4 linked regions of the Astyanax mexicanus genome follow. The protein of the gene in region 1 interacts with the protein of each later gene in a biochemical or structural test. Links are inferred from orthologs where the notes say so. Each region holds a gene or a part of one and is shown in the gene's direction. Other genes may lie near its edges. The genes, in order: erbb2, supt6h, syk and rasa1a.

What was found.
Region 2: the proteins of erbb2 (region 1) and supt6h form a complex in vitro, tested with the Homo sapiens proteins (2 studies listed by BioGRID and IntAct, with this or other methods). The link is inferred for Astyanax mexicanus from reciprocal best matches to the Homo sapiens genes ERBB2 and SUPT6H.
Region 3: the proteins of erbb2 (region 1) and syk form a complex in vitro, tested with the Homo sapiens proteins (2 studies listed by BioGRID and IntAct, with this or other methods). The link is inferred for Astyanax mexicanus from reciprocal best matches to the Homo sapiens genes ERBB2 and SYK.
Region 4: the proteins of erbb2 (region 1) and rasa1a form a complex in vitro, tested with the Homo sapiens proteins (2 studies listed by BioGRID and IntAct, with this or other methods). The link is inferred for Astyanax mexicanus from reciprocal best matches to the Homo sapiens genes ERBB2 and RASA1.

What each region holds. Positions count from the first base shown.
Region 1 is NC_064422.1:4,071,120-4,078,283, forward strand, and holds the start of erbb2 (receptor tyrosine-protein kinase erbB-2), read left to right. Parts: upstream 1-4,143; 5' UTR 4,144-4,369; coding exon 4,370-4,445; intron 4,446-7,164. UniProt on the Homo sapiens protein: Protein tyrosine kinase that is part of several cell surface receptor complexes, but that apparently needs a coreceptor for ligand binding. Essential component of a neuregulin-receptor complex, although neuregulins do not interact with it alone.
Region 2 is NC_064424.1:10,126,738-10,134,451, forward strand, and holds the start of supt6h (transcription elongation factor SPT6), read left to right. Parts: upstream 1-4,712; 5' UTR 4,713-4,755; exon of another isoform or gene 4,756-4,858; 5' UTR 4,859-5,051; intron 5,052-7,488; 5' UTR 7,489-7,499; coding exon 7,500-7,605; intron 7,606-7,714. Other genes in the region: sdf2 (stromal cell-derived factor 2), read right to left, coding at 1,783-2,079, 2,157-2,353, 3,407-3,596.
Region 3 is NC_064427.1:26,190,746-26,198,405, forward strand, and holds the start of syk (tyrosine-protein kinase SYK), read left to right. Parts: upstream 1-4,639; 5' UTR 4,640-4,663; intron 4,664-7,660. UniProt on the Homo sapiens protein: Non-receptor tyrosine kinase which mediates signal transduction downstream of a variety of transmembrane receptors including classical immunoreceptors like the B-cell receptor (BCR).
Region 4 is NC_064429.1:21,770,469-21,778,135, forward strand, and holds the start of rasa1a (ras GTPase-activating protein 1), read left to right. Parts: upstream 1-4,655; 5' UTR 4,656-5,517; coding exon 5,518-6,005; intron 6,006-7,667. UniProt on the Homo sapiens protein: Inhibitory regulator of the Ras-cyclic AMP pathway. Stimulates the GTPase of normal but not oncogenic Ras p21; this stimulation may be further increased in the presence of NCK1.

The sequences.
Region 1 (7,164 bases):
CTAATGCAGGACACCACGAAGGAGACATTACTGCAACAAAAAGAATATTACATTTTATTTTGTGATATTATTGCATATGGTATGGCACACCCCTAATGGTACTAATAGTGCACTCCATATATCCAGGTCTGAAGGAGGAAATATATATATATATATATGTACAGAACAGGCCAAATGTATGGAAACACCTTCTCTTTTTCAATGCGTTTTCTTTATTTTCATGACTATTTACATTGTAGCTTCTCACTGAAGGCATCAAAACTATGAATCAACACATGTGGAGTTTTATGTACTGTACTTAACAAAAAAGGTGAAATAACAAAAAAAAAACATTATACCCTAGTTTATTCAAAATAGCTACGCTTTGCTCTGATTACTGCTTTGCACACTCTTGGCATTCTTTCAAAGAGCTTCAAGAGGTGGTCACCTGAAATGGTTTTCCAACAGACTTGAAGGAGTTCCCAGAGGTGTTTTGTTGCCCCTTAGCCTTCACTCTGTGGTCCAGCTCACCCCAAACAATCCGGTTTGGGTTCTGGTCCGGTGACTGTGGAGGCCAGGTCATTTTTTTGATAAGTACATAAAACTCCACATGTGTTCATTCATAGTTTTGATGCCTTCAGTGAGAATCTACAATGTGAAATGAGATGAGAAATGGCTGAAATAACAAAAAAGATATGGAGCTTTCAAAACTCAAGTAATTTAAATAAAACAAGTTCATATTCATAAAGTTTTAAAAGTTCAGAAATCAATATTTGGGGGAATAACCCTGGTTTTTAATTACAGTTTTCATGCATCTTGGTATGCTCTCCTCCACCAGTCTTACACACTGCTTTTGGATAACTTTATGCCACTCCTGGTGCAACAATTAAAGCAGTTTAGCTTGGTCTAATGGCTTGTAATCATCCATCTTCATTTTCATATATTCTAGAGCTGTATATATAAAATTGGAAACGAGAACAGTGTGAATTTTCTTTTTGCTACGAGCAGCAAATGAGTTTTACTCTGATGGCCCATATGGCCCTAAAATAATATATATGATATTTTAGGGAATGTGTGCAATAACAACATACATTTGTTTGGCAATATTATTGCACACAATACGATATGGCGCACCCCTAATTGCTGCATGTCTGAAGTTTGGGAAATAGTACATTGACACTACACAACAGTACTAGCAAAATGTTTTTTGGACAAAGATTGAACTGTTGCTGCACTGCATCTGGCATAACAAAAGTCACTGCACATCACCATTAAAACATCATCCCAACCATACATAAGTATGGTGATGTGAGAGTGTCCTTACATCAGTTGAAACTCTTTTGAGGTTGGGTGATGCAACAGGACACTGACCCAAAACATCAAAGCAGCGGAGCAGATCCACAACAGAATGGCTTATGAGAGTGGCCAAGTCAGAGCCCAGATCTCAGATGCTGGATTGACTGGATTGAGGCATCCAAGAAATATGACAGAGCAAAAGCTGTTCTGCCAGGAAGAAAGGGCTAAAATTCCTCCTGAACAATATGCAGGTCTGATCCACAACAAATGCCTGGCTGAGGTAATGGCTGCCAGGGGCAACCACTTTAAGTTTTGAATGGGGGTGCTCTATGTTATTTTACGCATGTTGCATTTGTTAATACCCTAGAAACTAGTAACTAGTAACTTCTCTGGATGACCCGGTCCATCCAAAATACTTACCGGGTCCTACAGGTACTTTAACTGTACATATAAATAAAGAAAAACAAGCAACAAGAGTGTAACAACTAGGTAAGTTTCTGAAACTTACCTTTTACTTTCCCAACAGGTATGGTGTAATTGTTCACTATAAATCAGTAAATACAAAATACTTATTGGGTCCTACTCGTACTTAAATCTTAAATATAAGTACAAGTAAAGCACAGGGGAACCTGCAATTTCCCTAAACTTATGTTGCAATTTTCATGAAATAATATATATATATATATATATATATATATATATATATATATATATATATATATATATATATATATATATATATATATATATATATACACATATATATTATTTTGCCCTTGGTTCATGGCAGTTATGAAGGCTTGATTTCAGTCACCCTCCAGGGAATTATTATTCTATTAATTTTATGAGTTTGAAAAAAGAAGATTTTTTAAAACTGTCATGGGTGGAGTAGCTAAAAACAGTCAGAGTGGAGCAGGAAGAAAACGTACAGCTTAAAATTCAAGACTAAAATACAATAATATATATATATATATATATATATATATATATATATATATATATATATATATATATATATATATATATATATATATTCTCAATAACAAAATCAGGAATGCAGAGATTTTAAAGAAAATATATTAATTAATACACAAAAACTACAAGGTTTTATATTATTGGTTAATAAACCCACACCTCACCTGATTTTTACTGTTTTTACTCTATAAGTACACAGTACTTCCTCAGTAAGTAGTTAGAAACAACAGGGAGTGGGCTGTATTATGTAGTGTACAGTGTTTCACTGGTCTTACTCTGTAAGTACACAGTACTTACCCTCTAAAACGCGGGCTGTATTATAAAGCGTTACCAAATATAACTGTTGTTGTGTCATTTATGTTTACGTTTATGTAACCTTAAAGTATTTACCTTAAATATTTACAGTCTTGTACCCACAATAAGAAACAAACATAAATGAGCTGCTCACTAAATTCATCTGAATTCATTCTGAATATTGCTACATCAATCAGTAGCAATGTTCAGAAATGGTCTGGGCTATTATGTCAAAACCAGAAAGGTATAGTAACGAAGTAGAGGTACTACTGTTCTTAAGTACTAAAATGCTGTATCTTTATCTACTGGAGTATTATTTTTACTTCACTACTGTACTTAAGTACTAAAATACTGTATCTGTGTCTACCTTAACTTCACTATGTATTTTCCACAAGTTTAATACTTTTACTACAATATATTATTTTATGTGCTAATTCATTACTTGATTCAATTATAAAAATTCCCCATTTCACATTATCACAAAGCAGTAGATGATGCTGCTCATTCTTGAGTGAATCAAGAGATCAAACTTATCTTATAAGGGCTCTGAGTGGTTCAGCCGGCTAGCGCCTGCCACTATTATCAGGAGATTTCCCGTTTGAATCCTGTTCATGTAGCTTGCCATCAGCTGCCGAAGACCTGAGAGAGCACAATTGGCCTTGCTCTCTCTGGGTGGGTAGATGGCACACTCTCCCCGGGTGATGTCGATCAGCACAAGGCGTCTGTGAGCTGATGTATTAAACCTGAGTTGATGCGTTTTCCTTCGAGCGTGCTGTGATTGGAAAAGAGGTGGCAGTTGGAAAAAAGACAGTGGCTGACATCACATATATCGGAGGAGGCATGTACTAGTCCTCACCCTCCTGGTGTTGGGGCATCACTAGTGATAAGGGGGGGTCCTAATGAGTGGGTTGAGTAATAGGCCATGTAAATTGGGAGAAAATAGTCTAAAAATTAGAAATTTTATAGGAAGACCTCGCTGCTCCCGTTCTGCCTTTTACTTTCAGAACTCCAGTACTACATTTTACAATAAACTACAATACTTGCAATACTTAAATACAAATACTTGAATACTTTAGTTCTTCCACTTAAGTGTGTAGCTTAAAGAACACTACAACTTCTACTTAAGTCACTTTTTTGATAGAGTACTTTTACTCAGGTCTTGCTCTATAGTGTTTTATACCGGTCTGGTTATGAGCCAGGCTTCTCCAGTGTCTGAAAACAATCTGTGCAGCTCACCGTGAGTAAAACAACCAGTCCAGCTTTAATTCCCCACTCAATTAACCCAGTGCACAATCACAATAGATAAACAACACACCACACTGCATTACCAGAGGCAGCTGCTGGAGTCACAGCCTGCCTCCCGCTCTGTAATTGGCTGATACCCAGCCTCGTTTAGTTTATTTGGCCAGCAGTGTCCCACCTGCAGCGGTGTGATTGGATTTCTCAGTTTGAGTCCTGCGCTGGGATTGGATAGAAGTTCATATTCTTCAGTTACGGGACAAGCTATGAACTCCGGCGGGTGCGAAGTCTTAGCCAATCGGGGTGCGGTGGGCGTGGCCTGTCGGAGACCCAGTGGAGCCCCGCCCTTCCCCTCCCGTGCCCGGGAGCGCGCCTGCCTGCGGGAAGCTCGTTCCTGAACTGGCGGAGCGGAGCTGAACTCGGAGCTGTACTCGGAGCGCTGCCCGCAGGAAGTTTTACAGACTGAAACGCGCTGAGGGAACCGCAGCACGGGAATACACACTCTCCGCAGGATTATTCCCAGCCTCCGGGGAGCGTTGAGGAGTTATTGAGCGGGTGATTATGGACTAAAGTCCGGCGGAGAGCGATGGAGGCGGTGAGAAGTTTAGGGCTCGTGCTGGCGCTGCTGGCCGGGGCCGTGGCGAGATCTGCGGGGAGAGAAGGTGGGTCAAACCGCCGCATTCCTCAACCAAACACTCCCCCAAACCCCGGCCTTCACCGGAGAACAGCCGCTCACAGCCACTGCAGCGTGTTTATAACCCATAGAGCGAAATGTTTTACCCTAAAATTACTTTAACAATAACTTAAAGTCCTAGCTTAACTTTTTAATGGTAAAAACTTACTTCTACTCACAATTTTTCCATGGTAAAAGCTCTAACTTACTACATCTACTGTATATCAAACTGTGTAATTTTGACTAGCCATATGTTTTGACTTAGCATTTATTTTTATTTCACATTGTCCTATCTATAATTACTTAGCTACAATTACATTTTTTTGCTAGTAAATGTAAAATTATTCTGAGATAAGAGAGAGTGGGGAAAAATATGAAATTCCATGTCAATAAAATAAAATATCAAACAAAATATCAACGTTAAAACAGTAAAATTAATCAAACACTGTGTGACCCTGGATCCAGGCTAATATCTAGTCTGCAGGTTTGATTATGTTATTACTATTAAAAATGAACTGATATCAGAATTAGAAGTAGTACAAACTGTAATACAGAAATCTTGAATTTGAATTTCTTGAGCTATACTAGTATTATAGAGTTAGGACTAATGACTGGGCGATATTGTAGAAAAATAATTTTGATATACTTTAGATATAAATGATTAACGATAATGATTATACATTTAGTTTTTACATAACATCTTCATTTGCACCATTTTAAGTGATGCACAAGCTACTGTTTCCTTTACATTTAATTCAAGAAATGTTTTAGTTTTAGTAAGCAGACCCCTTTAACTTCACATGCAGCTTTTATTTCAAACACAGTGCAAACATAACCTCCTTGACAACAACAGCTGATGTGGATATTTAGACTTTCTGACTAGGAACAATATAAAGGCTCTCAAATCTACACCTAAAACCAGGCCTTTTTAGTTTTCAAAACAGTACTTATGGTCAGTTTATTTAGACTGTTTGACCAAAAAAGACCAAATTTGTAGACCAAAACTAAATCCGGGCCTTCAGAGTTCAAACATAGCCTCCTTGTACTTTAGTTCAGGGAAAGTATAAAATATGAAAATCACTGAAAACCACACATAATAGAGTTCTTTATAGTTTTCTATCTATTGAGATCCACTCTGGCAACCTCTATATGTACATATATACAGTCTCTATTTCCCCATTTTGAAAACCACATAAAACAGTAATTCCATTAATTAATTTGATTAACCTCCCAGCCCTACTTAGGACTCATATCCCTGTTGTGATTTTAGTCTAAAACAATTGTCCATATTGTAGATATAAAAGGGCTGTGGCAGGTTTTTATAGAATTTCAGGCTGCCTACAGAGATTTACTCAAGTGTTTCCACCACAAACTGGCTTTACCACTTTACTGTGACTGACAGCAGAGAGCAATCAACAAACTCAAATCATAAAACCTGCCTTGTAGACCAAAACCTAAGCCTAAGGCTTTGGTCAGGAGCAGTGAGCTGTTTTGGTGTGGGTATCTAAGAATTTCTCACTAGAAAAAGAAAGAGTAGAGTACACTTTAAAACTTGAAAACTTTAGTTTTAGGCAGGTACACAGTGGACAGCAACAACTGATGTGGATATTTAAGACTTTTTAACTATAAACACTTTAAAAAAGACTCTAAAATGTGGACAAAAAACAAACTCAGGCCTTTTAGGGTTTAGTTAGGTTTGCAGAACAGTACTAATGTTAAGGTTATTTAGACTTTCTGAATAAAAAGATGAAAATTGTAAAACAAAACTAAATCCAGGCTTCAGTGTACACTCAAGTGCTTACATCTCAACACTAAATGATATTAGCCTTTCTGATGGGAAAAACCTTCACTTTCAGACAAAAAATACACTCTATACAAAACTATCATTTAATTTATATATTTATTAAACACTGAACATTTATGTGAAACACAACATTTAATCTGTCCCTAGTTAAAGTAAAATATATCAATAGACTTTTATATAAATTCACAAAATATTATTTAGATACTCTATAAATACAAATACACTACGACAGTAATACTTAACATGAGTAAAAAATTGAGTAAAACCGAGCATTTTTAACTGCACCATGTATAATCTGTTATCCTATGAATTCAGTCAAACAGAAAGTTCTTCAACTAAAAGACAGCTTTACTGAGATTCTAGGCCTTCGATTTTAGTTTGATGTGCAAAGAAGCTATAGGTTCTGATTTTAAAGTCTTCATCTGTAGGCTAAACCAAACCTAAACTCAAGCCTGTTTAGAGGTTAAAGGACATTCAAATTTAGGGCGGCACTTTATTGGAAAATATTACAATATTAAAAATGCAGTTGTTAACACCAACTTTTGCTAGAAGTAGGTGAGCCAACATGGCCTGGTATTAATATTCTGTGATCATTCATGCTGATGCATTAAAGCTTTAAAAAAGTAATCTCACCTGGCCAAAACTACACCAGCACTACCCATTTTTATAGACCGAAACTCTGTTTAAAAGAAGCTAGATGGAAAAAAAAAATCTCAAGGCAGCTGAATCATCAGGTGTTAGAACTGAGGTCACTTCATGACGGTCCTCAGTGGTCGGAATGGTGTTGACGGCATTGCACCTGCCAGTTCTAGGCTCATTTCCAACATCTAAAAACACACAAACAAAACTTTACAAACTTCAAATGTAGTTTAACTTCGCACATGTGTCCATAACAAACCTGCTC
Region 2 (7,714 bases), on another chromosome or scaffold:
TCTTAATTAGGCCATGTAGTAGGCAGGGATTTTATGGAAAGGGTCTTCCTCTGTCTATTGCATAGCAATACATAGATTTATTTGGAAGTGTAACTGATTCATCACAAAAACACAAATGCAAAAAAAAATCATTTTATTTTAATACTGATGTTAAATGGTTGAAAATCCAACAATAGAAAGATACAGCAAAGTATACAGACATGTTTAGAAAGAAATACTGAGCTTTCTTCATTTTTTTTGTATGCGAGATATACACTACTGGTCAAATGTTCAGGTACACCAACCTTGTTGCTGAGTGCTTGGATGAGCACTACTGAACTTAAATTAACTGAGGATGTCTTTCAAACTCATTTTAAGCATTTCAGCACAAAACTCAATGAATAAATAATGCGAAATTAAAAGATAAAAGCCTATGATTAAAATTATAGAAAACACATTAAATCATGGATTTTTAAACCTTTGACCAGTAGCACAGCTTCAGATTTGTCATTGATTTAAAATACAGTTGCTATCGATGAACTGTTGTTGCAAGCAGCATGTCTAAATAAGGGATAGGGAGACTTACATGAGCAAATGTGTCCAATGCTAGTCCCTTCCACATAGTCAGCATTCAGATTTTGATATAAAATACATTTTTACATCTAAAATAAAAACAAATACTGTAATTCTTAGCCCTTAGCGTAGGAGGTTGACAGCAGGAAGGCAGCAGCAGGTTGGTCATTTTGCCTTCAGTTAAGGAAAGACTGGGATTTTGTTTTGTTTTTTTCCAACTCATTAGCTTAGGTCAAATGTATGAACATTGATTAATCATGGATTATAAAACATGCATTATGCTGATTTATTTTTCAATAAAAAATTGTTTTGTTTAAGAATTTACTACAGTATATATAGATATGAATATGCATACTGATTTGCATTTTTGCACTGAAATGTTTTGTGGGTTTGAGGGTTTTCTTTGGGAGTTGTGTAGTAAGTTTTGTTGTATGGGGATACATGTATGGGAAATGTTACATGTCTATACTACATATTTCTATTAAGTCTATTTGTAAATCTGTAAATGTATGTTTCTGCTTTCTCGTTGCCTTGATTAGCACAATGAATTAAACATCAAACACTGTATTTACCCTGTAAATGATCTGTGTGAAATTCTTAATAACAGAAAATATCCTACATTACTTGCAGTTCCCACATATTGCCTTGTCCAGCCAGGACTGTCTGTTACCTTAATGCATCTCCTCCTTTGAACACTATCACAGAATAATGTTTTACAAACAGATGTTCCACTGCAAGCACAGTGAAAACATGTTGCTTGTTGCTTCAGACACTAGTTTTCTCATACAATCATCACTGCTAAAAAAAACAGCTCAAGACTAGCTGGTCATCCAGAGAAGAAAAGAGCTAATTTACCAGTTAGCCTAGCAGAATAAGTTTTTTTTAGCAGGAATAGACAGTTCAAGCATAATATTTTCCTTGTTCCTACACCATTATTTATTTTCCAGTTCCACGGATAATTGTGTCCACTCACTGTCCACCTTGTAGATGCAATCAGAAACAGAGGCATGGTAAAACGAATCATAGACTGCAGAGTTAATGTAACCCAGGCATTCTGTAGTGATATTGATGTATATATTTTTAAGAATAATTGTCACAAGGAAATTCTTGTATTTCAAGTGTTTTGATATGAGGTATAATTTAATGAACAAGTATTCTGTAGCAGAAATAAAACATTACAAATGAAGAAAATACTGTGCTGTCAAACAAATTGATTGTTGAAGAAACCATTCAAAACTCAGTGTGTGGAAGACTGCTGAAGTCCCTGGGCCCTGTCTCACTGGGCTTCATGAAAATACCCTCCATGGCCTTCCAGTAGCTATGTTGGCTGGTGCTGGTCATGGCATGTACTTCTCTCTGGCCGTGGATGGGTCTGCCATACTGCTCACCTGTTACTGAAAGCAGAGCGTCTGTGGCAGTGTGGCGGAAACGCACCGACTCGTCTCTTTGCCACGTAGATCCTCCACAAAGTACAGTCCACTCATCAAGGTTGTCGCCCTCGCCTTCCTCTCCAAAGGCACTGACCTCCTAAATGAGAAAGTCATGTTAGACTACCCATGGTTCAGATTAGGGAATGCATCCTTAACAAGTTAATGCTTGCAAACCTGGTTGGAAGAGAGTGGAGATGCAAAGTAGTGACTGTGCAGATTTCGTCCTGTGTTAACATGTGTAAGCCTTATGTTTTGGCCACATTTTACAGGGGTCCCTCGGTGACACACTGCACCACTTGTCCCACGGACACTCCAGTAGCTGTTGCTGTCTTCAACTGTGGTCACTCCAGTCACTGACTGCTGACCACTACCTGAGGTATAATAATAACAACAACATTTGTGAGTAGCAAATACAAAAAAGTTAATATATATATAAAAACATTTAATGTCTAGAGGATGTAGTGCTGAAGATCAGAAGATCAGCAGGTACAGAAATGCTTAAACCAATCATTTACGATCAATATATTACAATAAAAAGTGACTTTTACACAATTCACACTATTGATATTTAAATGTGGGTGTTGTTCTTGGTTGTTTTTCTTTGGCTTCTTTTTGTTTATCTTGATATTTGAATTATATTGTATCAATCAAAATTAAGAAATACATTACCAGTCAAGAGTTTGGACATGTCTTAAATTTTGTGGTTTTATCATAAAGTCATCCACACTTATCAATAAGTAAACAAAAAAGTGTTAAACAAACCAGAATATGTTTTATATTTTAGATTCTTAGATGACAGCTTTGCGCATCTTGGCTGGATTTTCTTAGTCAGCTTTATGAGGTAGAGTCACTTGGAATGTTCAGCTGTGCTTAACTCGTCAAGAGTTAATTACTTGAATTTCTTTCCCATCTTAAAGTGTTTGAGAGCATCCGTTGTAAAGTTGTAAAGAGGCAGAATTGGTATACAGTGATGAGCTCTATTTGAGTAATGTTTAATCCATATCATATTATATCAAGAACTACTCAATTAAGCAAAGAAAAAATACTTTAAGAAATACAGGTCAGTCTAAAACAGGAAGATGAAACTGGCTCGCATCAGGACTTCCCCAGGAAAGGAAGAGCAAGAGTTTCCTGTTGTACAGGATAAGTTCTTTAGAGTTACCAGCCTCCGAAACCACAAATTAACAGCACCCCAGATAAGAGCACATACATGCTGCCTTACAGAGTATTTTGGTTTGTTTAATATTTTTTTACATGTGCTAAAATTATTCCTTATGTGTTCCTTTATAGTCTGGGTGAATTTAGTACTATTTTACAATGTAGGGAAAAACACTGAATGAGAATTAATATACTTTTTCTCGGTCTTCAATGTTATTTATAATGGATATGAGAAGTGTAAAAAATAATGAAAGGGATTTACTCACCAGAGCCGTACCGAACATCGTGTGAATGTAGTCTTACGTTGTGCTTCACGTTGAGCAGCTTAACAACCGAGCCACAGGTGACGAAGCGTATTTCTGAGCCTAAAGAGAAATGACACATAGATGATAATAAGACTGAAACCCAGAGAGAGGCTAAAGAAAGAGCGCAGTTCTCCATTATTGTAGCTTTCATACAGCCAGATTTACCCAACACAGCAGGGTAAGAGCTACGTAACACCACAGTGCCGTAGGGCCGCTCTGCTGGAGCGCAGCGCCTCGCTGTGGGTCGGAGTCCTTCTTCCTAAACGAATCCTGCTGTCCTGCAGTCTCTTCTAGAGAAGGGGCTCTTCTGGTACACATATTCTCCTATGTTCATATTTGGTGTTCGGTTTCTAAACTAAATTTCTCAATTTCATAAAAAAGTAACACAGAATCAACTGTACATTTTATTACAGAGAGTATAAAAATCCTATTAAATGGAAAGATGTACAACAAAAAATGTAAATCACTGTACTCTGCATTAAAGGAATTTTTAAGAATGCTTTCCCTAGTGCAAGCCAAAATATGATAAATACTGTGTAACATAAGATTATGATGTTTTATGTTATTCTATTATATATATTCTGTTATTTTATGTTTTATGTGTTCTCAGTTATTACCTAATGTGTATTATTTAGTACTTTTAATTTAATTAATTAATTAATTAAAGCTTCCATGTGTGGTTTATGGAGAGCCTAAAATGCTTATTATGCTATTATGCATATTGTTAAAATAGTATAATTGTATGCAAAACATTTACATCATCTTAAGAGTTTTCATCAGTTTAGAGTTTTTTTTTTGTTTGTTTGTTTTACTATGATGTTAGGATTATGAAAAAAAATCTTTTTGAACTGTTAATACATTTCCTATGACTGTATTCCTATTGGTTTATTTATTCATTTAATTAATAGTTTTTATTACATGGCAGTTTCTGCTTAATTTTTTCAAATGGCTTCCTGTCATAATTTTGTCAGATAGTTAATTGTGTTGATCTGTCTGTCTGTCTGTCTCTGTCAATACAGTCTACATTTGTCTTCTTCCTTTTTTTCTTTCTTTTTTCTTTCTTTCTTTCTTTCTTTCTCTCTTTTCTTGATAAATTCATTGATATCTATCTATCTATCTATCTATCTATCTATCTATCTATCTATCTATCTATCTATCTATCTCAGATACTGTAAAAAGATATACACAGTCTATGATCCATCTATAATAAACATTATGAGTACTGCGCATGCTCTGAGCGCAGTGTAGCGGCGGGCTGGAGTGCAGCGCCTGCGTGCGGCTCGGAGGGGACTTTTCTGAAGGGAAAACAGGTACACAGTACGGTCTGATCGCCATTTTTTCGCTCACGTTTAGTCACGTTTTATATTAGATACATCTGAGTCGGTGTGTATTTCTATTTTTCCTCTGTTTTAGGTGTAAATTATTCTGAATCACGGCTGGGTTGGGAGTTGTCAGTGCAGACCGGACGTTGCTTTAACTCCATACCGGAATTAAAGTCCCGCTCCGGGCTCGGGCAGCAGGTTTGTTGTTAGCTGCTGTGAACGGAGCGGTTCTGGATCGCTGACGAGATTTCTCAGGGTTTAATCGAGAGGCGTCTCGGGAAGAGGTAAGCGTGGCCGTGTATTGAGTTTTTAGGGGTCAGGCGAGGTGGATAACTCGTTAGTTAAGATCTATAATGTATAATTTTTAAAAGCTGAATAGCTCGTTAGCCTAGCTTTGTGAACGTTAGCCTTGTCGTTGAGCGCTGGAGGCCTTGTTTTCAGTAGAGCTCTCTCTCTCAAACGCACAAAAACGGTATTTTACATTCATAGCAGATAGCTAAGAGTTAAGATAGCTTATTCAGGTAGTTGTGGTAAAGGCTTAATTGGCGTTGTTTTTCATTTGTTAGCTTATATTTCGTGTTTAGCTAGCTATAATGTTGAGCTAGGGTTGCTGGCTTCTACATAATGTCAATGTGGGGATGTTAGCTAGCTATGCTAAGCTAAGCTAGATGGCTTTACCTCGCTAGCGCTATGCTAGCACAAAGCTAATCAAAGATAGGTTAACTACATCTACGCAGTGTTTTAGCTTGTTTAACTAATTAACTACCTCATCTCATGTTTAAGCTTGAGCTGTTTGTCCTATATATTTATTCTTAATCCATATAACGTCTGCTACAGGTCTATCTAACGGTTAGCTATCTATTTAGTTAAGACTCTTATTGCAGCATTGGATGTTAGCTAGCTAATATTGGGAACTAAATACTATAGTGCTAAATAAATATCAGTACTTAAAGAGAACGCCGGTTCGGCTTTAACTTCTCAGCAGGCCAGGGTTTTTGTCTATTGTCAGTTGTTACACCACTAAATCTTGAGGATTTCTATTCAAGTATTACATAAAAAGCTTTCATGTTTAATGAAGAACGTTATTAAAAAGCAGAATTGTGATTGTAATAGAAAATCTAAAAAAATATTTAGGTAAATCTCGTGTCAAAATATAAAGTATAAAATCATAAAATTGGCTCTTTCCTGAACTTCATTTTAAAATTAATATTTTCCTTACAAATCAAACAGTCCATGTCTTCGTTATGTTTGTCTAGTTTTTATGTCTATTTTCAAACATGCAGAATTTGGGTTGATTCCTGTTACTGATCTGGAATTATTAAGTGGAGTAGAAAGTGAACAGGCAGCTTCTCAAATTGTCCTGTAGGAGATTTCAATGCCCTCAAATTTTCAGAATGTAAATACGATATTTTACTGCAGAAAAAGGGTTGTGTATCACCAACACCTGTAGCCTGTATATGGGGCAAGGCATGTTAAGGAGCAGTAGGGGTTAACCTGGTTATATAAGATAACTAGCTACGCTATAATTGTAACCCTGGAGAGACAGATTTCTAGATGATCTAACTAATTTAGCACTGGTATTATGGAGATCCCAATGTTGTAGATCCTAATAAATGCTGCACGGTTAGCTAGTTAGTTAACTTAGCTAGATAGGTTAGCTATTAACAGTCCCACATTGACATTATGTAAGACCTAGGTAGACTAAGTATTGGCTAAATATTAAAGATGGGTTAACAAAGAAATGGTCTTGACCTGTGGCATAGTGTGTTGCTCCTAGGCAACAAACAACATTTTTGGTTACTACAACTTTCTGTCTGTATAATGTTACATGGCATATCTACCTTCAATACACAATGCATGCAAGTGGGTCAAAAATATAAATATGAAAAGAAGTATATGTCTGTCAATTTTCTTACATTCTTGTTGTAAACTTACTGTTAACTGTTTGTTGTGCAGTTGGACTTCCAGTTAGATTAATCATGATGAAGTGGTTCTCATCTCTGATTCTGAAGACCTACTTCTGCCATTCACGTTTCAGACGCTTCCTTGCTCTAAAACACAATTTTAGATTTTGACCTTTGATAACAAACTGATCATTTAAATTTAGTTTGTTATATCCACATGGAATCTCAGTTTTTCTCCCGAAAGTATAATTCATGCTATAATGGGTTAATTCAAAGAACATCATCTACAGGGGACAGACTACTTTGAGCATTAGTTAAATTCTACTAGTGCTAGATTAGCTAGCTAGAAGTTTGTCTCTCCAGGGTTAAAATGTGCACCTTTAGCTGGAAGGTATTTTATTCTAGCTGTTGTGATTTTTTTCTTATTGTATTGTCGGTAAGCATATTAAGGATATCATCAGTACGACCCAAGTTTTGTGGATGATATATTGTCCCAGAAATTATTGCAGTAAAACATATAGTTAAATGCCACAGACACAATAATAGATTGGCATTTTAAAGAAAACAATTTTTTTATTAAGCATAGTTATTTTTATAACCTTTTATATACTTCTTTCTTTACCTATAGCAGTTCACACTGTGTGTCACAATTATCTGGAGTCACAATTATTAAAGCATTGGTCATTGCATGACTGGTTAAATAATGTTCACTGTTATGTGTAGTATTGTATTTTCCACTCTTAATGAGCTGACAAAATGATGATGATAAAATAATTTCCAGTGGATGACCTCTGCCAATTTGTATCTGTTTCAAAAGCCCTTGCAGACATGTCTGACTTCATTGAAAGCGAGGCTGAGGAGTCTGAGGAGGAGTTTGAGGAGAAGGATCTGAAACCCAAAAAGACTCAGAGATTTATGGAAGATGATGAAGATGGTGAGCAATCGGGTTTTGCATTTGTCAAAAAAGGGCATATTGGAAATAAATGGCTTGCTGCCCCAATTTGTGTATGTTTTTAGGTATTTTATTTGTAAACTGTGTCTTT
Region 3 (7,660 bases), on another chromosome or scaffold:
ATACCTAATATTAGTGTGAAATGGTGTTACATATTATTTAATGACAGACCTACATCACGCTATACTGCAAGCACTGCTGGAGAATGATTTGAGGAACAATAGTTCAAGCAACAGTAGATAAGTTTTAGGGAGCAGTAGAGAGCAATTTCATCCAATAAACCTAAACCTACTAGACCACTGTGTTTTTAGATGAAATATATTATATAGAAATTGGAGGGATGTTTGTTTTAGGACACTGATATCATTAATTAGAATATTCTGTCTCATCATAGCTTAAGAATTCTTCTGCTTTCAGTGTAAAAGAAAAGAAATCTTAAGATTCTTAAGAACTTCTGCTTTAAAGGTCTCATTCCATCGTTTTGTCCTTAATTTTAAAATGTCTAGTTGTCGTCTCTTATGTAAATGAAAGCAATGTAAGCTGTTTTTTTGTGAAAAAAAGTGCTCCAGTGATCCGGTATAACACTTAACAGGATTGTGGCTCTTGCTCATGAATATTCATTCAAATTCATACTAACATATCGCCTCTGATTGGGTAACAGCACTGCGAGGCAGTGAGACGGACAACAGTTAAAACGTTTTAAAATAAAGACATTTTTACACTAATAACAGTCTTTGCAACGTCATATGTTACTTTACAACATGTGTAATGCCCTGCTAAGTGCAGTTCAGCCACTGACCTAGTCTTAGAGTCTCTGTAAAACGGCAAATCCACCGGAGATCCTATGTAAACATAGTTATTTACACAGAGGTGGGTAGTCCAAGTTCAAAAAGTAAAAATCCACCCCAGGGTTGGCTGAGCCGCAGCAGAGCCACCCAGTCAGTTGGAACAAACCCCTGGGGTGGATTTTATTTTAACTAGTTTATTTTAAGCAGAACTGTTTTAAACATACACCTATCTGTCTCAATTGTACTTCGCTGGTGGTGTTCACAAGAACAGTTTCAAGCGCAGCATTCATATACAACTCAGAGAGACCTTTTGTATTTCACAAAGAACAAGAAAAAGGTGGATTTTAGCAGAAGGAGACCTTTAACTAGTTTATTAATTAGTTTGCTATTTTCGGAAGCCATGTCCATGTAGTGATTCACTTTCCCATGTTTGAAATTGTTCCATGCTGTCGATTCTAAGGTGAGACTGCTGTTGAGATGAACGTCACTGTAGAGTTTACAACACCTTAAGTCATTCAATCCTGTCAGTGATTCATCCTTTCAATTAATTAGCTACTTTAGGATCTTCCGAGGTGTTAAGAGGTTCAGAGCATACTCATATTTTTTCCCTGAACTGTGCTGCAGACTGGATCTGAATGTTCTAGCAATTGCAGAAGGAGCTTATTGAGTTCTTGTGACCTGCAGTGCAAATGAAATTACGGAAAAAAGCACAGCTTGAAAAGACCCACTTCAGACCACCTTTAAAATTATTTCTAAGCCTCAGTGAATCTGAATCATTCTGTGTTATATAACAGCCTGACCAAATCTTGTCTTCAGAGTGAATTGGAACCGAGGTGGCTCTGACCCATTGTAAAATAAATGAACCGATCATTCCAACCTTATTTTGTGTTATTATTGAAGCGTAGTTTAATTCAGAACTAATTAAGCTAACAGAGACACGCAGTGACATTGATGTGAAGCACCAAAAGCCTTGTGTGGAGAATTATTAGCAATTTTCTAAATGATAATTTTAATTTAAAATTAAATGTAAATTGATTGACTATGTATTAGTATTGTCTGGTTTATAAAAAAATATGTGATTGGCCAGAATTCCTCTAATTAGGCAATTCTGAGGTTTTTAGGTTAAGAGATACAGCAGCTCTATGGGAGGCTTCTTTGGGCCCTATCTTTCAACCTACTGCTTCTTGCTATCTTACACCCTGCCAACAGTATAAATAGCAATGGAGCTAGTAAATATATATCTATGCAGATAGGTGTGGTGGTCCCAAAATAAGGTGTGTTTAGTTAAATGTCTTGCGTATTGCTATCTTGGCAATAGAAAACACAGGTACCCCAGTGACAGAAAAAAATGTCAGATAAACGTAAACAGTACGACTTTCATTGTTATCTTGGCAACAGGTGCACTGTGCTTGCACAATGCTTGTACACCCCTGCACATTACACACACACACACACACACACAAGGACATGCATCAGTGCACAAACCCAACTTTTACACCAACAATAAACAGAATCCAAAAAATATATATTGCTGTTCCCATTAATGACCTACTCACGCACCTTTAGAGCATGAGCGAGTAAATCAGTTTCCTCTGCTTAGACATGCTGGACACGTCAAGGTAGCTCCACCTTTAAAATAGCAATCCACCAAAGTCAGAGCATACCTGGCTCTTAAAGAAAATAGTAAGTGAGACACTGATTGGTTTGTTCCACATTACACCCAAAACACACCCACGATTAATTGAGATAATTAATACATGTCTTTTGAGTGTTTCGAGCCGTGCAAGGAGTACTTTTCCCAACGTTATGATAGCAAAGAAACACTGACACGTCCTTAATCAAGCTGCATGGTGCACAGTTGACGGCTCACCTTTAGATCGCTAAAATAGGGCACTAAATTAAACTACCAAGCATGCTCATGGATGCATACACTCATTTGAGCCAATGTTGTGCTTCATTTGGTACACTGCTTCTGCTTCATCAATCTTTTAAAAAGAAAGAATGCTTGTAGAATGTGTAAAACTAACATGCCCACTAGGTGAAGCAGCAAAAAAGCCTTTTCATAACACTAACTGGATAACTCTCTCTCGAGTTCTATTCATTCCACTTTGAACTCCACAGTGCATTTCTACACAGACATTGACAGACTCTCTAAGCTGGTGCTCGGACTTCTATAGAGTGAAACTTGGATCAACTAAAAAAGAATCCAATGATGATGCTATACCAAGTTTGTATAAAAAGGTTATTTCCATTCCAGCCTTCGGTAGGTATTTGTAATTGACTGCTCATACTGTACCATGAGCAATTAATCCCATCTTCTCAAGTGTGGGTGGCTGAGATGGGTTGCAGGTTAGAGCAGGACCATATGCCCTATATGCATATCCCACAGATCAGGGCAGCGTTTTTTAGTTTCTAATATGTTTCTAGCTTCTAGGTTTATGCACCACAGCAAGCCTTTGAAGGATCCTACACCTTGAGGTTCGTGGGACTCCAGAGGCATCAGCAGCTTCTCTCTTAATCCAATGAACTTGTCTGGCAGAAACCTTCCTCATTTTGCCTTTATCTGCACGAACCCGTCTGTGCTCTGAATCAGCCACAAATCTTTTCAAAGTACGATAATCACGCTTAAGTTTACGTGAAAAACTAATGTTTTCATACCTTGTCCAAGGCATTGCACTATTTGATGCTTTTTGGCAGCAGAGAGATCCCTTATCTTTCCCATGTTGCTTAAAACCTGTGGCCTGCTTAATAAAAATAATAATGTGGAATCCTTCTTAAGTAGTGTTCCTTAAATTGGGCTCACCTGGCTAACTAATTATCTAATTATCACAGGTGTCTGAGATTGATTTCAGTGATCCAAAGAGCCGTGAGACACAATACCATCCATGGGTTTAATTGAGAAACAAAAAAAAAATCTTTGTCACACTTAAATCCAATTTGCATAATAATTTGGAACATGGTGTACAGGTTGGACAATGAAACTGAAACACCTGGTTTTAGACCACAATCATTTATTGTCCCGACGGACAGTTCTGGTGGAAATTGAATTCTGCCGTGATTTGGGCAGCCGTGTTTTTATTTTAATGTTTTTTGGATACAATCCGAGTTAGCACTCAAACATCCCTTTCAGACAGCTTCCTCTTGCGTCCACAGTTAATCCTGTTGGATGTGGTTGGTCCTTCTTGGTGGTATGCTGACATTACCCTGGATACCGTGGCTCTTGATACATCACAAAGACTTGCTGTCATGGTCACAGATGCTCCAGCAAGACGTGCACCAACAATTTGTTCTCTTTTGAAGTCTAGTATGCCACCCATAATGTTGTGTGCATTGCAATATTTTGAGCAAAACTGTGCTCTTACCCTGCTAATTGAACCTTCACACTCTGCTCTTACTGGTGCAGTAATGTGCAATTAATGAAGATTGGCCACCAGGCTGGTCTAATTTAGCCCTGAAACCTCCCACACTAAAAGGTGTGACAGGTGTTTCAGTTTCATTGTTCAACCCCTGTAGTTCCTAGATAGATGGAATGTGGCAGTAAATAGTAGTCTGTCAATATAAAGTTTTTAAATTTTCTTTAGGGAAACTAAATCATCAAGTCATTTTTTTTTGAGTTATTTTTGCAGAGTGCGCCTCCTCCAGAGCAGATGGCTCAACACCTTTTTATCACCCGCAGCCAAGCACCAAAAAAACTGAAAAAACACACCGATCTTGGATCGTGAAACGTGAAAGCGGGCCACCGCCGGCGAGGGCGTGCCTCCAAACTGGAACATACCCTGAGAATGCATGTTTTCAAATAATAAAAGAAAAAAGAGCCTCCTTTCAAGACGGTGGGTTCCTCTGCACGACTGAGCCACGATCCAATTATAGCCCCAGAGAGCGTGAGGCGAGCTGAGCTTCACGCAGTGTGTGAAGAGGAGCCTGTGATGTTCACAGAGCTGCGCGTGGATGTGTCTGGATGTAGGCCAAGAGCTCACGTGCGACCGAGATCACGCAGGTAGGGGAACAAGAAGGTGCCTCGGGCCTACAGCCTACAGCGTGCTTGTGCTCGGCTGCTGCTTCTCTTACTGTACCGGATCTTTTAGCTGTTATAGATGTTGTGTCTGGATTTCGGATGTTCGGAAGTTCGGATCTGCAAGTGTGTGTGTGTTTGTTTGTGCATGGGCTGGCTGGGAGGGTACGGAGGGGGGTTGAGTTTGCTGCTGGGCTCCAGTAGGAATGATCTAAGGAGGGAGGTGCATCACGCTGGGTTGCTGGAGGTGCACAGCCCACCCTGTAGTGTAGGACTGCTGTGTTTGCTAATGCTAATACTGTTGTAATACACTATGCATAGAGAGGAAGCTCAGTCTCCTGGGACAAACTCTGTCTCTCTCTCTGTCTCTCTCTGTCTCTTTCACTCTCCTCTCTGTCCGTCTCCATTTTTCTCGGTCTGTGGGAGGTTGTTATCAGCTGCTGTGATTGGCTGGCCAGAAAGCAGGGCAGAATGATGGCTGGCGTGGGAGATGCCCACTTATTCTCTCTGGACAATTTCTTAATGTTGCCTACTTGTTATAGCGATAGCATTAGGGATAGCATTTGGCCAAAAAGCTACACTGTAAAAAAATATATTCATAGGGTTGTTAATTGTGTAACATTTACACAAAATAGTTGAATAAGCAACTGAAAGAGGAATTTGGAGTAAAATCTGTGTTACATAATTTTATTGTGTTTTATAAAATTAACAATTTATTTGGATAGAGAACACACATATTTGAGTATGTATTGGGGTAGTCAGTTACAGTATATTTAATTTTTTTAATGGTTGACTGCTTGGTCACAGAGTTGTAGGGCAGAAGAGTAAGTTACCTTTTTTTTACTACAAAGTATGTCTTTATGCTGGATTAATTTTCCAGTGGAATGGGAAAATTGACTTGCACAAGGATAGCAGGGTAATTTTTTACACAGTATCAAGAAACAGATACACAAGCTAATCTCAAAGACTAGAATGGCAGGGACAGTAACAAAGTGGCAGCAATAGTAAACAATATACCAGGGAGAGAGCAGGCAAAATGGGTCATACAATGAAACAAATGAAATGCAAGGTAAAAGAGCTAGGAAATAAATGCAATACCAGGCAACAAGGAACAAAAACATAAAGGTAATTATATTAACAGGTCCAGATGTGTGTAATCAGAAGCTTGGCGAGTTAGAACACTGTAGCATCATATGATCAGCAGAGTCCGGAAGGTGTAAGTGCATGCTGGGAGTTGGAGTCTTTAATGTGTGCAGACTGACAATGTAAGGAATGACACAATCATGTCTATTATATGATAGATAGATAGATAAATATAAAATAAGCAAAATAATCTAACACTTAGTAAGACAAAAAGTCTTATCAGAGAAGAAAATAAGTTTTATTGCCTTAAATTTAGAAATTTTCACTTGCTAAGATTTAGTTTTTTGCAGTGTAGTCAGACAGACAGACAGACAGACAGACAAACAGACAGATAGATAGATAGATAGATAGATAGATAGATAGATAGATAGATAGATAGATAGATAGATAGATAGATAGATAGATAGATAGAATGGAATTTGAGTTGAGCAAGGTCGTGTTCTGAAGGCCAGATGTATTGAACATAGCATTTCTGAAATTGTGCATGGCATTTAAAAACAAATGGTGTTTAAAAACTCCAGCAGCATTGCTGTGTCTGAACACTTGTACCAGCACAACACACACTACTAAAACCACCATCATACCAGTGTCCAATCTGCAGTGCTGAGAACAACCCACCACTACAGACAATACCTGCTCTGCTCTGCTAGCAAGAGATAGATAGAGAGAGAGAGAGAGAGAGCGAGAGAGAGAGAGAGAGAGAGAGAGAGAGAGAGAAAGAGAGAGATATTGTAGTTTGTAGTGTTTGATGAGGCATGCAGACAATGAATAAACCCAACACCAAAATGACAGTCATCAAGGTTTAATGAATATTTTGGGGTTTGGCTAAAATTGGACGCGTCTCTGAGATTGCTCTTCGCTCTGAGGTTATTCTGGACTCAGACAAATATTTTTACATATTTTTGTGAAGGGATGGAAAGTTATTGCATTTTATATTACTGCCTCAATTTGAATGCATGAATTTTACATGAGGCCAGAAGATTCTCTACAGGGACACTCAGCGCTGAGCACTTTCCTAAAATGACTTTGTTAGATTGCCTTATTCAGAGAGTGATAGAGACATTACATTATACAGAGAGCTTCACAAATATACGTGTCACTGCTGTCTTATCAAAACCTCATCACACCACCAATTTTTACCTTTACTTTTTACCTTCGATGAACATTTTAGGACGAACTATGAATGGGCCAACCCAAGTGGTCTAGAATTATGATGTATGTTGCCGTTATCAAAATCTTAGGTCTCCGGCAGCCGATAGCAAGCTACATAAACAGGATTCGAACAGGCGATGTCCTAGTAACTGACCTTTTTTTACACAAACCTGTAGAGTCAATGCAGCTTGAGTCCACGCTGTGTTAAAAACGTTAACGGGCATCTTGAGGTCACACACTGAACAATTTATTGCTGTTATAAACTCCCTAATAATCCATTTAACTCTCTATACCTTTAAACCATCCTTGTAGTACACTGTGTTCTTGAAGTGATGCGTGGAGAGCTTCTGGATTCTGAACGCTCTGAAACGTCCCACATCACCTCCTCCACCACCCTCTGGCCTCCACTATTTCTCTTTTTCCATTCTGCACTTTCTCATTTAGTCAGGTCATAAACTCAGAGACCCTTTTTTTTCTTTAATACGTTCTGTCCCTGAACAGGTCTGTCTCCTTTTTCCAGTTCTGCTGCTGATCTGGGGAATGGAACAGACATGCTTTGTGGTCTGTGACGGCACAGAGAGATAGAATAAAAGAAGAACAAAAGAAACAGAGATACAGAATATGAGTGATTATCTCTGTGTAATTGAACCCTCTCCACATTATTCCCCATCCTTTCATTTGTGTTCT
Region 4 (7,667 bases), on another chromosome or scaffold:
CAGGACAAAGGACCGTCCCGCTTCCCCACAAATCATACCCCCATCAGGCAGCCCGGCACCCAGCAGCGTGTTCCAATGACGCCCGGGAGAACACGGCCCACTCCTACCTACAGCACAAAGAAAGAATTATTGCTCTTTGGATAAGAACGAGTGAGGAACAATTTGTGTGCAGTTTTTCTCTTCACACAGTCTCACACAGCAATCCAAAGCTTTCCACATGCAGTTATTGCAAAGGCTGTTAAAGTGCAACATTTAGAATAAGCTTGATTTGCAAACAGTATGAATCCTAGATTTTTCAGGTGTGCAACAGTAGTTGTCAGAAGTTGACCTGTAAGTGTACCCTTGTTTTCTGCAGCCAATTCCCTTGTAATCTGTGTGCAGCATGTGGTTTTGCATTGTCTTGTTGAACAAAAATGTGAAAAACTCATTAGAAAAGATCTCTTATGAAGAAAGTCTTATGAAGGCAGCATATTGTGTAATAAGATCTCAGTGTAAATTTCTGTGACCCTCGCTTTTGGATTTGATGATAAAAAAAATGTCCAGATGATCCTGTGTTTTTCTTTAGTCTGGAGCACTAATTCTGACCATCTGACCACAATATACCATACTTTTTACTCTATGTGATGCTCCATCCCAGATGCCCCCAAGCCCATGAAAATCAACACCACTTTTGGACATGGGTAACAAAAGACTCCTGCAAAGATTTGCTTTAATAGTTGCTTTTATGAATGTGACTCCACTATACTGCAGTTCTTGCCAAAGCAATCCCTTTCCTATGATTCTATCAGCGGTTGTTAAATGACGGTTCTAGATTCAGTACCATCTGATGAAATGAATATGACAGGTGTTCGGCTTAGGCTTGTGCTCTCGCCATTTATGCACTGAAATTCCTCCTAATTCCTTGAATCGTTGTGCAATGTAGAGGGAGAATTCAGCAAAACTGTTCCAATCTTTCTTTGAGGATTATGTATTGGCATATCAATTCTGTTGTACACTTCCATTTTCTCCACTTGATACAATAGGGTCCTTTTATAAAAAAAAGGATGCAACTTTACATTTCATAGAGTTGTTAGATAACCGAAACCCTCCTAGTCTGTTAGCAGAACAAGACATTACCCAAAAGTCGTTTTTATTACAGTATATTGTTATTGTTGCGATTCATTGCTTTCATCACTGTAAAGCTGGTGTTACGCCGCCTTATGCAGCCTCTACCGAGAGGGGGTGCTTTTTCTGGCGGGGGTGCTGAATTCGGCACCATAGTAGTGTCGAAATCTGCACCCTCACCATGGAAACACCCTCTCTTGGAAGAGGCTGCAGGTGACATGATTCTTTTTCCTTATTTCTTACGAGTCAGTGTAGCTTACAACAGTATCTTGGGTATACTGTCAAGGTAAAGCCAAGAAGGTGTGGGTGCGTGCTCCTGAGAGGGGGTGCTTTTCCTGGCAGGGGTGCTGAATTTGGCGTAACACCAGCTTTACAGTTATGAAAGCAATGAATCGCAACAATAACAATATACTGTAATAAAAATTACTTTTGGGGGGGCAAATTTACCTATTTCTGATATTGGGGGGGACACATCCCGCCCATACCCGCCCCAGTTCCAGTTCCTACGCCAATGTTGGGGATCCTCTTTTTGTATCAAATTATGATTATGATCAGTAATCAGCGCGTAGGGCACCTAAAAATCAAGCTCATACAAAAATGATCATAAAAATAGTAAACATAATATTGGCATATTTAAATAAAATTATGTATAACATATTAATAGATACACACAATACAAAAGTAACATATTTGCTTGAGGAAAAAAGATTGGAGTGTGCCTCTAGGCTCTGCAGTATGTGTGCCAACAGTTTCTGGAATGTGTTACAGGCCTGAAATGCAGGAATTGAAGTATATTAACAAATGAAATGAAGCTGACCAGACACGACTCTAATTACCGCTGAGCTGCATTAGCCTCTTAGCCTCATAGCTTTAAAACAGACACCAAATTAGATTTTTGGTTAAAGCATCACTTTAGCATCACTCGCTCTCTCCCTCCTGCCCCTCCCCCTCTCCCTGCCTCCTGTTTGTTGGCCACATTGGTTGGCCATGTGTGCGGTGTGTGTGTTTTGTGTGTCTGTGTGTCTACGGGGGGCTGGGGAATCAGGAGGAGGTCACGTCATGTCAGAGCCGAAGCCTGCCACAGCGCGGAAAGCGGGGGAGGCTGAGGAAGAGGAGGAAGTTGATGAAGACTGACAGCATATGTCAGCAGGCTCCACGTCAGGGACCGGGCTCTGCTGGCGTCTGCTTAAGAGACGTGAGAGAGAAGCATAAAAAGAGCAATCTGCAAAACGGTTAGGGGTGTTATAGGGCTGGAGGGGCATGATGGAAGATGAGCTGCTGAGAGATTGCAGAAAGAGACAGTGATAATGATGGAAGTGAAGGGAGCACATGTTCCATGAACTACGAAGAGGCCGCAAGCAAGAAAGGCAAAGGAGTAAGAAGCAAACACATATAGTATATCAGACTGAAGCTACTGGTTATCCTGTGGCTTCTAGTATATGTATATGTGTGTTTTAAGGTTAAGGAAGTGTCAAAATTATAGTTTTTGCTAATTGAGTACAGCAATTAAGAAAAACATTAAAACACATTATCCATTTCTCAGATATATTGAGCATATATATATATATATATATATATATATATATATATATATATATATATATATATATATATTTCTTTACATACTTTATTATCTGGGTGTACTACCTGGGTGGTGGGTCATTCTTCATTTTTCAACATGTTTTTTCAACACGCTTTTCAACAAGACAATGCAAAACACATGCTTCACACATTGCAAAGGCATGGTGTTTAAAAACACCAGCAGCACAACTGTGTCTGATCCACTCATGCCAGACCCACACATGCACTAACACACCACCGCCCTGCCAGTGTCAGGAGCTCTTGTTTTTTAAATATTCTGAACATGAGATGCTGTACAGTGCTGTTCAATATCAAAGTCAATTTTACCTATACAGCCCAGATAAAAGGGACTTGGCTCAGAAATTCTACAGACGAAATCACATTTGGAGATGGCAGAGTGCTTAGTCAAATTACTAACTGTACATATGGGAAATGCCACTGAGCGGAAGCAGATGTTTGGAATGGAGACAAGAGTGGCAATGAACGCAGATGCATCCACAGCCCGGCTGGTTCCCATAGTTACATCAGATTTGCATCCAATTTCCAGCAACATCCCCAGTCTCTTTTAAGCAAAACAAACCTGGCTACTGGAGAAGATCTATTGTCTATATTGTGTCTAGATTATTTGTATTGGCCCCTATGAGCAACCTATAATTCTAACTACATCAAATTGTTGTAGTCAGTCGGCCAAGGCATTCAGCTGCTCAAACTGTATTTATTTAGAATAATCAGTTTCTCTGGTTTAACTATTTATAGGTATATGTTTTAGTTAAATGAACATTGTGGTTTTATTTTATTCTAAACTACTGACCACATTTTTCCAAATTTTCAAATAAAAATATTGTCATTTAGAGCATTTATTTGCAGAAAATGAGAAATGGTTAAATTAACAAACAAAAAAAAAAAGATGCAGAGCTTTCAAACCTCAAAGAAATCAAGTTCCTGTTCATTTAAAAACAACAATACTAAAGGTTTTATCCAAGGAAGAGTTTAGAATCGATAATTGGTAGAATAACCCAGATTTTTTATCACAGCTTTCATGAACTGCTTGCATTTTTGTGCCAGGAGTGGAATAATGTCACCCAAAAGCAGTGTGTTAGACTGGTGGAGGAGAACATGCCAAGATGCATGAAAGCTGTGATTAAAAATCATGGTAATTCTACCAAATATTGATTTCTGAACTCTTAAAACATTAGCATTGTTGTTTCTAAATTAACGTGTTTTCTTTGCATTATTTAAGGCTATTCATTATTTAGACCATTTTTATTTGTAACTTTGAAGAAATGCCGTCAGTAGTTTACAGTAGTAAAACCACAATGTTCCTTGTACTTAAACACATACCTATAAATAGCAAAATATATTTTTATTATTATTATTGAAATTATTCTGAAGTGGTCTAATATGTTTTCCAGAGCTGCATAGCAAACATTAGCTAGCTAGCTCACACTAGTAGGCAAATATAGTATTAAAATATTATATTAATGTTTGTTTTATTAAATATTGAACATACAATCCTAAAATTGTACAGTCAAAACTTTGTATGGGTACATCTGCAAGATACTTGCTATATGTATAAGTTAATCCTTAGCTTTTCAGATAGCTGTGATTTTTTTTTCTGCACGAGCAACAGATCTCATCGAGTTTGTGAACAGTTGTGAACAGCAACGAACCGATTCATCTGAACGGTCTAGCTCTGATTTAGTTCAACGAATCGAATCACACAATACAGGAAAGAAAGTAGTGAGACCACTTTTCACAAAACACAAACTATGAGCATAGTGTAGTCTTTTAGGGGCTTGCGTTAGTAACTGCACTGAACTGTTTATTAGCTGAACTGTTAAGAGTGTGGACTATGAACGGGCGCAAACATTGAGTTAGACGTTTAACGTTGGAGAGTCGGTTCGGCAGATTTCAGAGTGATTGAAAAGAACAGAACGGTTCATTGACTCACTGAATTCACGACTCTGCGCTCTGTTAGCCGGGTCTTAGGGGGGGAAAGGAGTGGGACTGACTGGGAGCAGCTGTGGCAAAATGTCCAAGTAATCTCGAAAGAAAAGCGAACTTGCGCAGGAGGAAAACATTGCAGCCCGTTTTTTGGGGTGGAAATGAGGAAAGCGGCGGGTTCTGGGCGCTAGGACGCGGGGGTGGGTAGTGTGGCGTGGTGGAGGAGGCGGATTGGAGTGTTTTTTTTTTTTCAGGACTGACTGGAGTGGAAAGAAAATAACAGCCACAGAGAGTTAACCTAACTAGCTAAAAAACAAGAGGACTGGCTTCAGACCGACAATAAAAGCGCTTATTCCCGTCAAGTGGATTGCCAATACCTACTGGAAGGCAGGACGGGTTGTTTGTCTTGTGTTTTTGTGAGGTTTGGGCGCTTTATTCTTCATATTTTGTGTGGAAATTTTTAATTTTTCTGTCTTTTTCTGGCTAAACTCGAAACTCAGGAAACAATGAAGACATAACTCATCGAGTGGCCGTCAGCTAGCCTGGCTAGCTAGCTAGCAAGCAAGCAGGCATCGTGTGGAGCGAGCGAGCTAGCTAGCTTAGCTAACCTAGCTAGGTTAGCCCTAGCTAGCTAACGTAGCTAGTTAAGCGAGCTAGCGTAGCTAGGAGACAGCCACAGCTAGCCTGGGAGCTAGCTAGCTAGTCCAGCTGAGCTGAGCTGAGCTAAGTTGAGCTTAGCTGAGTTTCCCCCCTTGAGGAAAGTTTATTGTACGTCTTTTTTTCCACACACTTGAGGAAATATTTGAACGTGGAGGAGTTTAAGGATAGAGAACCGCACAGCCGCAAACGCCCCGCAGCCCCGCTTCTCCACCGCTTTCCCTGCCTTCAATGGACGCGGAGGTCAGAAACGAAGACCGGCCCACCGTACAGCCAGGGAGCGGGCTTACGGCCTTTTACCCCAAAACCAGCCGGCTGCGGGTGAGCGAATTCCGCCAGCAGCCTTCCCACACGCCGCTTGACAACCTCTCCGACCTGATGATTTACCCAGTGGCGGGGGAAGAGCTGTCTGCCGCGGGGAGTGGCAGCGGCGGTAGCGGCCAGCCCGGGGCTCATGGATCAGGGAGCTCAGGGACTGCAGCTGCTGCCGGCGGAGGCGGCGGCTGCTATTCCCCCACTTTAGAGGGACCAGATACCCGGATGTCTCCCACCTCGGCCGGCACGGACGGGCTGTCCGCCTTCCCTCCGCTGCCCCCGCCGCCACTTCCACCTCTTGCCTACGGGGCTCACGGCAGCGTGGACGAGAGTGACCAGCAGGATGGACCAGAATGCGAGGAAGAGGAGGCTGTGTTCTCCCTCTCCGCGCCACCCACTAACCAGTAAGGATGGCACCCTTCTTCTAATGCTTTCCACAAGTCTTTCTAGTTCCTCACAGGCTTCTTATAAAGCTGCTGAAAAAGCTACTAAAGTTCTGAAGTGGTGCTAAACTATGCGAAAGACTTGGTGTGTAGGGGAAAAAGGTTAATGAGCACAAACCTTTGTTGCTTCACATTTCATTGATAGAATTTTGAGGGCACTGACCTTTAAAACGAGCCACTGAGAACTTTAAAAGTTTACAAGAAGTTTATTTTTTTTATTATACTACAGTTAGTTCCGACCCTACAGTGTGATTGGCTGTGAGGCGTTCTGTGATTGCCATTATCACCTGGTAATGCACTGTAACAGAAACTCTGTTTTACTCGGCTGCATACAGGTAACCTAGCAGAGATGCAGATTGCAGAACTTACCAGTCAAACAGTGCAGCTACAAACAGAGCAGCAATGGAACTGTTTTAACTCACATAGTGCTTATGACCAAACAAATCGTATTTTCCGTCCTCTTTAACTCAAAATCTTTTAATAAACAGCGATACTGGAACTGTGGTATAATCACAGTAATACATGAGTGCCTTCAGGTGTATTTTTCGGCATCATCATAATTTTGTAATTAAGTCACAAAATCGACTGATGAGCCTGAACGAATAGGTAGGACAGGGGAACAGATTACAACATTATTTCTGTGAAAATGCATGAATATTTTAAAGGTCACCTTCCGTCGTTTTTTCTTTCATTTTAAAATGTCTAGTTGTGGTCTCTAGTATGAATGAATGACATGTGAGCCGTTTTTGTAAAAAAAAAAGTGCTCAGGTGTCTCTGTATAGCTCTTTTTTAATGGACTGTTTTAGGGGTGTGTCCAAAATGACCGGATTCCAGCTTTGCTCATGAATATTCATACATGCAAACAGCATGCAAATATCTCTCCTCTGATTGGCTAGGAGCACTGCGACGCCCCTCCACCGCTCTGCCGCTCACTGCCTCCCACCTCCTAACTGATGAGCGGTGATGTTGCGTCGCTTCAGCTCCGCCTCTGGGAGTTTCTGGAGCCAAGGTGGGCTGGTCTGTGAGTTTCTGCCTACGTAGGCAGAAAGATAATTCAAAATTCACCCGTTTTTCGGAGGGGGGGAGGGGGGATTTCTTTGCTTAGCTCCTGCAGACAATGGGGGCTGCAAAACAGTTTAATGTGCAGGTGTACACATTCAACTCGGAGAGACCTACTGTATTCCACAAAAAACAAGAAAAATCGGATTTTCGCGGAAGGTGACCTTTAAAGATATTTTCAGCAACAGCTGGAGTTCAACTTCCCCAAGGTACTGTGGTAATAAACAGTCTTTTTGTTTTTTTTAAATAAACTACCGGTACACATTCAAAATTCTCAGTGCCTTGTTTTAAATGTCAGGGCCCTCGGAATTCTACCAATGAAGTTTGGCACTACTTCAGTGTTGTGTTGCCATATATCTGGTAATATGTATATATATCGATAATTCTAAAACAAACAAACAAACAAAAAAAAAAACGAAATATCTCCAGCCCTAATAGAGACTCACGTGGGGCTTGTATAGCAATCAGATTTTCTATTTTGTCCATGGGTTCCACTCATTCATATGAATGTCAGTGATTGGCCCCTCAGGGTTGTTGGAGGAACCAGAATGGATTAAACATTGG